Neodiprion lecontei: one gene and its partner. The protein of the gene in region 1 purifies or fractionates together with the protein of each later gene. This does not show direct contact. Links are inferred from orthologs where the notes say so. Each region holds a gene or a part of one and is shown in the gene's direction. Other genes may lie near its edges.

Region 1 (5,130 bases):
TCGGTTTTTCATTTTTACGATTTTTCCTAATTGGCGGGAAAGATACGGAAAAAACTAAACGTCCTATCGAAACGAGACAAATTGCATTCTACTCGGGATTAAATTCTTTTCTAGTTGAACCTAAAAAACTTTAAGAAAGTCAAGATTAACCCACTTTTTAAACAATCTAAAGTGAATTTTTTTTTTAATTTGCGAAAAATTGTTGAATTTTTCACTTTTTGTTGAATTTTCTTGGTTTAACTAGAAACTATACTATTGAGAAGTAAAAATTTTTTTGGGTTCTTTGTTTCAGACGGAAATTGCGACCTGCACCTTTCCCGCCGCACGACAAATGCACACTCGAGACGCCTCGGTGAAATGCTTGTACCAGGCATAATATGACATGTATCCTAATGAAAAAATTCGAGAAGACTGTTGAAATACATAACAATAAACCCTGAAAGTTTCGTTTCAATCGGATATTTCTTTCCTTCCCAAAAAAATCCTCGAAAAAACCGATTTTTTAAAGCCTCTAAAGCAGGCTCCCCCCCTTAAACTGTCGTATTAGATTAAAGCAAATTAGTAAATGCGGGTTTTTCTTTTTCTTATTTTTCGTGAACTCGAATTCTACAGTAAAATACTAACTATTACATTTGACGGTAGAATTTTGGAATCAAGTTTAATTATATTTTATACCGAGGACATTGAACAAATCAAACTCACAATCAGTGCAATTGACATGGTGAAATTTTTCAGGCTAGACTTATTGCACTCGATTGAATTCTGTTTGTTTTCATTGTAAAATGATTAATTCAAATATTTGATCATTTATTTGATTTACATAATATTAATCGAACGCGTTACACTGATTATTTATCTGAACTGCAAAGTTTTATCGTATATGTAACAATAATCGATATACTTGGAATGACCTTTAAATAATTCGACGAACTTGTCATATTACCGGTTCAAAACTAATTCATCAATATTTATAATTAAACTTTCTGATGTTCCGATTTCGTCGATTCGAACGAAATGGGAGTCCAAAAAAAAAAAAACAAATATTTAAATAAAGATGCGATAAAACGAGTATTTAAGAACTCCCATCTAAGCGAATTTAAATAAAGTTAGAATATTGAATCAAATTGTCACGATTCTGAATATCGAATGTTTTTAAGCAATAACTGGTGAGGTCAGGAATCTCATATATAAATAAAATGAGCTACAATTATTATCAAACGGTAAGAAATGTTAATAATAAAATAGCGTGATTTTTCCGACTTCGTTATAATTGAAATTAGGTGTCTTAAAATTTTCCTCTGTACGACAAGAGATCTTTTCTTTTTATAAACTTATTTTGAATTACATCGAACCCGACCTACACTGAGAGAAATTTTTAGTTCCGGTTACCGCTCGGTCCTTAAATATTTTTATTTTTTACCACAATCGAAAAATATAGTTTTAGGTACAAAATGAAAATTAGTTTTCCAGCTGTTACCAGAAAGTCTAGTATCCGTAACTATTCTTTCTCATTACTACCACTGTTGCTGTATTTTTTTGCAACTGTTGCGAAAGTTTAATTCTCGTGCAAGAATAAATTGACGTTAAAGCCTTGTTTGACTAAAAAAGTAGAGTAAACCTCTCAGAAGCTGATTTTGCGCTGCGATAAGCAAAAAAGGATCGACGATAGCGCAAAATGTTTACGCGTACCTCGTTTTTCGCAATTCCAACAATATTCAAACAGATTTTTTTTTCAAGGATACCCGTTTTACTGAATTTTTCTGGTTACTGTAACAAATGAAATTTTTCTCAGCGTACGTCCAGCTGCATTATTCGTTATTAATAGTAATTAACAATAAGATAGAGAGGAATTTTTTATTTATCCCCAATATGCCAATAATATGGACCGCATAAAAAGCACGAGTATTCGTTCGAAAATCGCGACGCGTTCGAGCGACTTTTGCACGCTGTGCGAGTTTTGCAGGCTAGCAGGGAAAAACGCAGTCGCGCAACGCGACTGCGCAGAGATAAAAGAGGATCGACGATTCCTCTCCAGTCTCTCCTGGGCTCTCCTGGCGTCGCGGCGTCCGTCGCTCGTCGGCGGATCCGTCGGATCATGAACTAGTCGAAGCCCCTCTTAAATTCGGCATCCGGTTCCGTTCGTCGCGTTCCGAAGATCGTTTCAAATTTCCGATGTGAAAAATACTCGGTACGAACGATCCGCGGAGCGATTAACAAGAGTCAGGTTTGGTTGGGACGCGTCTCGCAGGAAGCGAACAGCTGTTCGTAGTGCGTATCGGGCCACGCGTCGTTCGTAGACTCGGCGTCGGTAAGCAGTTTCCTAACTTACCGAGCGGCTCGGTTTTTCCCCGTTTCTTCCCGTTCTTCGCTACTTTCTCGATCGGAACTCTGCGGGAAAGAACATGTCCGTCATCGTTGATCGGCTCCGTCGCGTAATGAAAGGCGAAGACTCTCGGCCGGTTAACGATGAGAAAGAGGTGATTTAAAACGGTCGCTAAAAAAATTTACATCACTGTATTTGTGATTTACATTACTGACTGGTATTGTTCTTTCAACCTTTTTTTCAGATCAAGGGATACCGAGTGACAAATGCCGATCGCACTCGGAGATTCGGAGTCGCTTGCAAGGATTTTCAGGAGCTTAAAAGCAAGGCCTGCGCAAAGTTTAATGTGAGTTGTATTTTATAATTTGTCGTATCGTTGATCCGTGCTAAACACTTAACGCCAACTTAATCGAGCCGGGAAATTACCGGATGATCGTTAAATCTGATCGGTTACAAGTGTTCGGGTCGAGTTCCGAATGCAAGTTTTTGTTTTTAGTCAAAACTCGGCGGAAAATTAGTTTACTGTTACCGAAAAGTCTAGTATCCGTTACTGTTCTTTCTCATTACGATCACTGTTGCTATATTTTCTTGCAACTGTTGCGAAAATTTAACGCTCGTGCAACGATAAATTGACGTTAAAGCCTTGTTCAACTAAAAAAGTAGAGTGAAACCTCAGAAACTGATTTCGCGTTGCGATAACCAAAAAACCATCGACGATAGCGCAAAATGTTTACGCGTACCTCGTTTTCCGTAATCCCAACAATATTCAAACAGTTTTTTCAACGATACCTGTTTTACTGAATTTTTCTCGTTACTGTAACAAATGAAAATTCTCTCAGTGCAGTTTCCATAAAGGATCACTCTTCCGAGTGTCGATATTTCTTTGTAAACACGTTTTTTTCCCCCCTCCGCTAACAAATTCTCATCAGCATAAGATGAATATTGAGAGACTAGAGATTACGCGATCACGTCCCAGCTTCCTCCCCCGCATTCGGGTGACGCCTGATGCAACCGCAATTGCAAGTGCATAAGCCCGGCCGGATTTGCAGTTGCCGGCTTTATCGAGTGGTCCAAGACCCCAGCGTCGATGCTCTCATTTTTCCAACCCCGTCAATGTAGCTGCACGTGGAACTAGGAACATCCGCTTCCGGTTGCGCGAGTCTCGGTCAAGGTCGATTACATCGACGAATCATCTCCGTCCGCCTAACGAACCTCTGCAAATTCGATTTCAACGTTTCCCCCGAAACTGGGTCACCAGCCCCTTTCTGCCCCACCAAGCGTTGATCCTGGTTTTTCGTTTCTGCCCTTGATTTTCAAAGATTTTCCTCAAAGGACAATTTTCACACCGAGGGAAAGATTCGATTTTTTCTTTTTTACGAGATTTGAATGGTTGCTACGTTCGATAACATACATTTAAATATATATATATTTTATGAATAAATAGGTGATGGGGAAGTTTTATTCGATCACTATTTTTTCCAATTATCGTTTTTAAAGGGAGGTAAAAAACACGATTCAATTATTTTTTAAATACGTGTAATACACTTTATGCATGTGCATCTACACGTAAAACTGAAACTTTTCTTTCGTGAAATTTAACCAGTATGGATTTGCTTGATTCGAATGAAACGCGATTGAATTTAAAAAATTCCCCGTGTTCAAGTTGTTCCTTAATTTATTTATTTATTTGATTTTTTTTTTTTTTATTTTCACTAGGAACAAGTAAATATCGTTCAAGGATTATTCAGACAATTAAAAACCTGTAATCACCTACCGAAAGATTTTTTTAATACGATTTAAATTGACTCATATAATGTAGAACGTAAAAATTACCCTGATTAAGATAATCTTATTCGAATTCATTAGTCAATTTTGTTGATTCACAAAGCCATAAATTTTTCGAAACGCCATTAGACTTGCCTCGATCCTCTAGAAAATTTATCAGGAGCAAGTCAGTCTTATTCGATCCAAACAAACAAATATCTAATTATAGAATGAAGAAAACAAGGAAGAACAAGCAAACATATATTTGCTTGTAAAAGACATAATTTTCATTTCAGTATAAAAACGATGAACAAGATTTATTTATTTATTTTCGAGTTTCATCAGGCTTTGTTTTCTGTAATCAATAAATTTTGTGTTTTGTTTTAAGTTTGTTTTTTCGCAACCGATCAACATCGCTGATTAAACAACCTGTCCGATCACTTCGGTTTGTTTTTACATCCGCGTTTCTAATTCATTGTAATTCCTCTTATTTATCAGCCAGTTATGATTTGTTATGTTCCGATTTTTTTTTTTTTTTTGTCACTCGTCCAATGTTTATACCGGAACGAAATACCGGATAGAAATTGACAAAAAAAAAAAATAACAGGAAACGAAAATAAGGAGATTGAAAATTAAGCCAGACATTGACCGTCTCGTAAAATCAACGAATTATATTATCAGACAATAATTTATTCTATCGATTCTTCTGACTTCTAAGTGGTATATGTATCATACGTTATATCATGCAAATGATCATCGAGTTTGAGTTTAACGACGAGTTAGAGACTTAAAACTTTAAACATAGCTCAGAACTTGATGCCAATGCAATATTATTCGTTGATTTGAAATAATGAGAAAAAAATAATTCGATTAGCTTCGACTGAGATTAGATCTCGAATATTCTACACACAGAATATTAAAAAGCAGAAAACAATTATTTAAACAATTTTTTTTTTTTTTTTTTTTTTTTATTCCAAATTTACAACGTTTCTAAAACGGTCTGAAAAGTATAAAATATTTTCACCCAACCTCACAGAGATTTA
Region 2 (7,804 bases), on another chromosome or scaffold:
AGATGTCCTCCGCCAGAGCAGAAGTCGACGACTACATCCCCTATTTTTGCCAATGCCATTACAGGCCTGCACAAATTTTCTAACTGCTCAAACTTACGCTTCAGTCTCGTTTCGGGCAATGCACCTCCCTCTGGCGTTGCTTCAAACGGGATTTCATCCCAGTTCAATGTCATTTCCGATCCAAACGGTTCCGATGCAAGCTCGATGCTGATGCCTAGCTCACTGATTAATGCAAATGAATCATCTATGTCAACTTGCTTTGTGTAAATGCGATTACGAGGCTTGTATCGCTTTGGATCGCTCTTATACAGGCTATGGTTTTCAACGTCGGGAAGAACATAGCTGGTAACCCGGTTCTCAAAGCTCGGAGATTCCAAGTGTCTTAAACATCTCAAACTTTCAGATATCATTTCACTCGAAAGCATCCTCGTGTACCACTTTGCTGTCAGTGGTATGAGTTCTAACAATTCACATCTCAATGCGTGGAGTGTAAAAAATGTGTGGATGCAGACAAATATTATGATATCCGCCAATGTGATTTGAGATCCCTCCGCATAAATGTGTTCTGGTATTTTATCCCTGTTACCCGTCATAGTGCCATTGATGGAAAATTTTTTCGACATTGTATACTTGTACAAATTGTGCAATCTCACTGGCTGCGACATATGACATTCAAATCTTGCGATGCTTTCAGGAATCTCATTCGTATCGCTACTTGAAGTTTGACCATGGATAGATTTCAGGGTCGAGATTAAATCCACCTCGCAAAACTTTGTCCAGATACTCGACTCCGAGCAGGCCAGCAAACATGCATCCTTAAATCCTAGTAAGGCTTTGCTGTAGTGCAATGGCGTTTCAAAACACCTACTTTTTACTATTTGACGTAGGGTCGCGCAGAGCCCAGCCACACATGTCGTCTCGTTAACTATTACGTTTGGAAGGTCGCACGTACTCGCATATCGTGGTAATTTGTCTACTTCCATAACTGTGTAAGTAAACCCGGACAGATCAATAAAATTAGACCGTTCCTCATTGCGTGTTTTTTTTGTTACAACCAAGTTAATCGATACGCGAGAATCACAGTATTTTATCGTGAACAATGTTATTATGGTCTCTATCGGGGCGAGGCACAAATCTGCAATGGAATGAACCTCCAGGAAAAGCTGGTTGGTTTCCATAGTCCTTTTTTTTTATATCGTGTACGATAGTGTCACAACTCTTGAAAGTCTGAATGCTACAGAAATGCAGTTCAAATTATACTATGTGAATTTTATATTTTTTTCAGAACCTGAGCTGGTCGGTACCGCCAATCTACACACTAGCTCTGAGTTGTCTAGCCACTTTTCTGACTATTCTTTGCCGCAAGATGTTCTCCCTCCAGTAGACGCTGATGCAAGATAAGACAGCGAGACCAAACATAAGGCCTTCAAATCTCCAGAAACTGCGCTCCTCCAGCCAAGCAACTTTATCACAACTGAAAAGAGTACAAAATGTAAAAAGATAAATGAACCAGTTCAAGTAAAATGTGGAGTTATCACAAATCATGAAAACAATCATAATAACAATCCTTACCTTCTGGTTACAGTTATACCACTCTTGCGACATTTCAACACTTCCTTGTTGCTTGTATGAATGCAGACGCCGATGCTTTCGCTCGCTATTTCGAAAGCTGTACACGGATGACACTCTAATATCACATCAAATTCTTCATTGAGATAACAGCTCGAATTCTTTTCGACAGACTCTACAAATGCCTTGCTGCTGTCCGTGTCTGTCCAATTGCTTTCAATAATCAAGACGAGTATCGTCAACCTGGAAGAAATGTTTTTTTGTAAGTACAACACATCTCTTGCAAAAGTTACAGTATGGTTATATACATGTATATATAAGCAAAAAATGGGGATCACGCTACATAGCTTTGCGCAAAAATGATGACACATTTTTATTGGTCAACAATGCGAACGATAACAATTTTGAAAATATCGTTAATCAGGGTACTGATACTGAACTAATATTAAAAGAGAAAATCCACTCTTAGGTTATTATCGCTAGTGGTTTACAGCAACTGAAAACGTGGGTATGAATTTTCAAGCTGATAAGTGTTATTGATAGAAATGAGAACAGACCCTCCTAAAAAAGTGACGGCTATGAGCATCCGCTTTTTTGTACACGACTCGATCATTGTAATATAAATTCAAAAACTGATGGATTTACATTGAAATGCGTACGTCGATCGACGAGGTGAGGTTATGACTCACGTTAACTCACCCTCCGAATTCGACGAATAATGGATAAGACAGAACCCTTCGTTACCCGCAATGCAGTGTGCCTTGATTGCATCACAGTTCGTCAGTATCCTTAAAGAATGCCGAAAATTGCAGTATTCTGCAATACCAATTTTATTCAACATTGGGATCCCACAAGACGAGTCGGTAAGTGGCAGAGTCGTAGAATTTACCCCCAAACCCGCTCAGATCCGGTAAATCATTTCGAAAAATAACGCTGAGCTACCAGTCTTCATACATCTTCATTCAGCGACGGGGATCATCTACGCTGTTTTAAAAATAACGCCATCTGCGGAGAGGCCGAGAATCTCTTTGACCGAGAACTGATCTTGAAACGAACCTGTCATTCCTGTCATTCTAGCCAAGAGCGCAAAAACTGAGCACAACGTCCTCACCAAAAAAACTGAGTGTAGACTGCGGGTGGAGGAGATACGATATTTATTGCGCAGACGGTTTTTTCGAGCGTGGGAGGGGGACAATAAATCGTATGCCTTGATGGTACGCCCATTTATTTATAAAGCCTTGAAATGTGTTCGAACGATCAACTATGAAAATACATCAAGTCAATATATATACAGTAATCATTTCAAGGGATTTCATTGACTGCCAGAATATCATAAATTTCTTTTTCTCTTCGATTAAATAGGAGAAATGAGCAACAAACTAAAGGAACAGATCTGCAATTGATTTACGAACCATTCAATCCGTGTATAGTATGTCGTATATAGGTTTTGGCAGGTGATCACTTAGTAGCGCTCTTATTCTCTCTCCACGAGACACAGGCATGTATCGCCTCAATGGGAACGTTCTCACTGTAGCGTCGGTCAAAGCTCTGGTAGTTTGAGTCAGATCCGCCTCCGGACCAAGCGTGTATCTCTCTAAGGCAATCATCTCCTTTTGGAATAATTCTTGACCATACTCACGCCGTGTTTGGGGGTCGAGCTGTGTCCACATATCTCTTGCCTGCTCCAGCAGAGAGGCATTGTCTTTCAGCCAGGCACTGCCCGACACATATTCCCCGGTCTCAACTATAACAACATCCACACCCCATCTCCGCATTTCCAAACGTAAGCAATTTCCCCATGCCTCTACCGCTGCCTGTAAGTTTTTTGCATATTTTAGGGACCTACGTGCAGTAGTACAGTTTTTTTTTCGGAGAAAATATACGGTCTATAAACAAAATCAGTTGATTTTCAGTTCCCCACGATATACTCTTGCGCAGATTACATAAAATATTTGGGAAAAATTCAAGTATTGTGCTTCAATCATATTGTCATAAAATATGTACTAAAACTATTCTCAATGAATAACGTACATGAAATAAAAAAAAGCATAGCAAGGGGTTGAGCTGCTTTAGAGACCTCGGAACACATACAGAAACTAGCGCCTTTACAGATTCACAAACCAAAATAAAAAATACTATGAATTTCCATTAGTCAGATAGCGTACAGTTTTATCCTGATTTCAAATTTGCGCTTCCTTATCAAAGTAGCCGGTGTTCAGAGTAATAATTTTAAAAACCTATTGCAATTCATTATGCACAACCGAGTTTGTCACCTCCGGTCTTCTTACCTTTACTGCACAATGTATCCCTCGCACTGGGCTTGGGATTCTTGCGAAAAGGCTTCCTACAAGTATAACGCGTCCCTTAGAGCGTCTCACTAGTGGAAGGAATACCTATTGCACGATAAAAATAATAATATGCAAGTGTCATAGTTTAGCAAACTTGTTGTACAAATGTTTTTACCTGCGTCAGTCTCGATACTCCAATGAAGTTAACTTCCACGCTACGCTTTAGCACCGAAGATGGAATCCACTCACATTCTCCTAGCGCCACCCAGGCGTCAGCATGTACCAAACCCCACAAACCTATAATTAAATTGGAATGCTTGATTTGACTTTTTCAGACTAAGTAACGTAACTCTGGCTGGTCTATTTACCTGGAGCTCCGTCGGGCAAGTGCTCATTGACGTAGAGGAAAGTTGAATGGATATCACGCTCGCTTGTTACATCCAGTTGCAGAACACGCAGTCTTCCTGAGCATTGATCTTTTAGTTTGCACGCTATCTCATTGTTCTCGTTCTTGTTTGAAAAAGTCGCAAAAACTGTGAACCCCTTGAAAGATATTTAACAATGGACATATTATTATCGAGTTATCATTGTAATGATTGTGCATATCGATATTTTGTAGGTTTTTATTTTTATATACCAAGTCGTCCAGCTGCTTCGCCAAAGCATTTCCTACCCTGGAGTCACATCCTGTTATCAATATTGCCTTTCCAGCCGCAGTTACCTATGATAATAATTTTCTTCATCACTGTATTTAGTAATACGTAGCGATGTCGCTATTATGGCCTCAATCGTTAAACTTGCGGATATTTCACTTTGAATAATTGACTTTATTTCTCTTTGTTAGGCAAGTGTGATAGTTTACCTTTAGATTGTGATAGAATAAAGTAGAGCCGAGAGATACGCTGAGAAATAGAAGAAACAGTACAAAACTAGATATCTGCGAAATACCGAAAGTGTTGAGAATCGTGGCAACGATAACTGCAACCGCGTGTGAGAATACGAATGGCAAAAGACATCGTTCTAACAACTCCCACGCCTGGCTGTCCTCGGGTGGTTTATTCAAAGTTTGTGGCATCACACCCTTATTTAATTTCAATATGGATACTTAATAATTGAACTAGTTTACTAAACGCTAGCCAGAGCTCACCTAGATGCCTGAACTGGACTAAGCCCAGGCTAACTTTAAACTTGATACGCTGTCTAGTCTCATTCGGCTAAATTTATCCCCTGCAGCGATGTAGGTACCCAAGGCCCGAGTATGCCTCAGCATGTTTTTTATATTCCTCAAAATACATGTAGATATAGGTGAATCATTTAATTCTATTAAAATTGGACTCTGCTCCAATAGTAAATGCATTGACGTAGAAATCCCATCAACTAATCAAACTTCATATTTGCTATTCACAAAAACTTATGATTATCCTCAATCTTGAAGCCAAAGTGTCCCACCTATGAAGTTCAAAATTGAAAAAATGTATAATACATCTGAAACGAAAGTGGAGAGCAAAACAGCGTTTAAAAAAGAAAAGAAAAAAGGAGATCCTCCACCATGCACTTGCAGATCTGAGGTCACTATTATTGATTTCAGTCTGGGTGCCATGTTGGTAAAGGGAGGAGTTGCCTGTCTGGTTATTCTATGTATATACAGAGAGTACTGAGTGTATAAATAGGAAGGGTGGTTACACCATTGACCCAGTGTTCAGTTGGTGCAAAGTCGGTTCAGTGGCCAACAAATGATACTTTCTTTTTTACTCTACGTCTGTACAGTAGTGATATAATCATATTGAATTGCCACACCACTGACAACCACCATAGCCAGCGAACAGCTTAAGAGATTGCATTCGGATTCCACCCTCTTTTGCCTACATTCAGTATTCATACAGTGCTCACCAAATTGCGTATTGTCATCCTATTAAAATACCCTGTTAAACAGAAGTTTGCTCAAAATTAATTGAGAAAGTTTCATTGCCTAATAGTGTCATATTATCCTTACATATATTTACAGTTTATCACTGTGATTTCACCCAAGTGATTATCGAGTAAAAAGTTGAACGTGAAAGACCCATAATTCGACTGTGTTCTAAACAATCACTTTGGTAATTTTAATATTGATATCATATCTCTGGTGATATAAATAAAACAAGGTAAGGAAAACCATTATAAGACCCAATCTATCTATCAACATTAAACACTTTGTGAAAAAACGATTGAGAGCCACTTTGAATAAGGATATATTGAAAGGATATGTTCCAAACACGTTTTTCAATGATATAATTTTATCCAAACAGCTTTCTAGATTCTTGAATTTTTCATTACAAATATATATCAAGAAATTATTATACTATACTTCCAATAAGACTAAGCAATGAAAGAAACTCTGTGTGAATTCTTATGGCTTATCAGAACATTTTATTTTCATGACATTTATACAACGCCAATCTAATTTCAGGATGTCAGACACTGCAGGGGCAGTACAAGCAACAGCTTCCCCGTATAAGATAATTGATCATGCGAGAGAAAGACGCAAGGGCATTACAGCCTCGTCACTAAAAGAACTCACTGCCATAGCTAGAAACCGATTTGACTTGCCACAAGAAGAGCACCTGACCATTGTTTTGGAACAGGATGGTAAGTATTGTTATTTTAGATTGTAAATATCGATTATCTGGTGATTGACAACCTTAATGAAGTGTGAATTGCGCAGGTACCGAGGTAGACGACGAAGAATACTTTGCTACGCTTGAGAGAAATACAAGCTTGATGGTCCTGTGTGGCCATCAAAGATGGTCAGCTGCTGGAAGCTCAGCTAGTACATCACGCTATGTTCTGCTGGATGATACGGATAGTGGAAAAGAAGGAACATCAAGAAGGAGGGAACGTGGGAATGGGGCACAGATCAAGCCGCTGGTCTCCTCACTGCGTGGAGATCCAACCCACATTTCGCTATTAGGTGGAAACGACTTGGAACTGCTAAGTGATATGGATCCGGAAAGTCTAGCAGACATTGTGCCTGACAGGTGAGGGATGGGTGAAGTTTTTGGGAAGAGAGAACATGTTGGGTGATTATGTGGGCAGTCTGTTGAGTGTTTGAAAAAAATTTCTGCAGGATATTCCTGGAGCAACTGAAGGAGGCGTCAGGAAGATTTTTAGCCGAGAAACGACAGGCGCAGGAATCAATGGCACTATTGCAGATGTATGCAAGCGGAGGAGAGATGGAGCGGGCGTAGGCCATGTGGGGGGTCGGCACCCTCACACTGGCAAACATGTACCGCATTCGAAGACGTCTCATATACAAGGGACGTCACATTCAGCAAACGATGATTTTCATCTGGAATTGAGCCGAAGTTCCATGTCAAATTACCCAATGAATATGGGGCAGAAGGAAGGGAGTAAAGTTTCTGTGATTCATACGTGTATAGATATCTGCCGACTGAATGATGGGCAATTTTTATGTCCTACGTAATGATTAATGGATGATCACAGCTTATAATACACGCTCATAATATTTGGCATACCTTCTGCATTACAGGTATCGTACGTCTTTTATCGGAGAGAATAAATAATTGCAACTTTGCACACAATCGTGTAGGTAAACATACCCTACATAGAATTGCGTTAGGAATTAATCGGCTATAGTATACTGACCCTTTGCAAAATATCCAGTAAAGTATCATTCCACCGCTGCCGAGGCTAGAGCGTAAAAATAATTTCCTTGCAAGGTAGCCACATCGATATTGGCCCAAGGATTAGGATTATATATGATTTTTATAAATGTTTATTACACATTGTATTTCTATAAGAGATAGGTTTTAGTTGATACCAAGTTTTATGAAATGTTTAAGACTGAATTTCATTATATTGAGAGGTAAGTAAAGTTTCATCCCCCATTTAGATCACAAATTTCGCTCCACTAAAATTAGCTGTTCGATCCATAAACCGATCTTAGT

What was found.
Region 2: the proteins of DNA fragmentation factor subunit beta (region 1) and DNA fragmentation factor subunit alpha fractionate together in Drosophila melanogaster (co-fractionation; 3 studies listed by BioGRID, with this or other methods). This does not show direct contact. The link is inferred for Neodiprion lecontei from reciprocal best matches to the Drosophila melanogaster genes Drep4 and Drep1.

The regions. Positions count from the first base shown.
Region 1 is NC_060263.1:37,513,177-37,518,306, forward strand, and holds the start of DNA fragmentation factor subunit beta, read left to right. Parts: upstream 1-2,030; 5' UTR 2,031-2,402; coding exon 2,403-2,477; intron 2,478-2,567; coding exon 2,568-2,669; intron 2,670-5,130.
Region 2 is NC_060264.1:25,801,731-25,809,534, forward strand, and holds the start of DNA fragmentation factor subunit alpha, read left to right. Parts: upstream 1-1,812; 5' UTR 1,813-1,831; intron 1,832-2,126; coding exon of another isoform or gene 2,127-2,182; exon of another isoform or gene 2,183-2,214; coding exon of another isoform or gene 2,215-2,216; exon of another isoform or gene 2,217-2,274; intron 2,275-2,413; exon of another isoform or gene 2,414-2,432; intron 2,433-2,544; exon of another isoform or gene 2,545-2,984; coding exon of another isoform or gene 2,985-3,383; intron 3,384-3,857; coding exon of another isoform or gene 3,858-3,962; intron 3,963-4,032; coding exon of another isoform or gene 4,033-4,154; intron 4,155-4,225; coding exon of another isoform or gene 4,226-4,400; intron 4,401-4,494; coding exon of another isoform or gene 4,495-4,578; intron 4,579-4,719; coding exon of another isoform or gene 4,720-4,932; exon of another isoform or gene 4,933-6,001; intron 6,002-6,306; 5' UTR 6,307-6,307; coding exon 6,308-6,485; intron 6,486-6,561; coding exon 6,562-6,874; intron 6,875-6,963; coding exon 6,964-7,084; 3' UTR 7,085-7,804. Other genes in the region: glutathione S-transferase C-terminal domain-containing protein homolog, read right to left, coding at 1-1,178; protein JTB, read right to left, coding at 1,312-1,474, 1,573-1,812, 2,127-2,182; D-beta-hydroxybutyrate dehydrogenase, mitochondrial, read right to left, coding at 2,985-3,383, 3,858-3,962, 4,033-4,154, 4,226-4,400, 4,495-4,578, 4,720-4,932.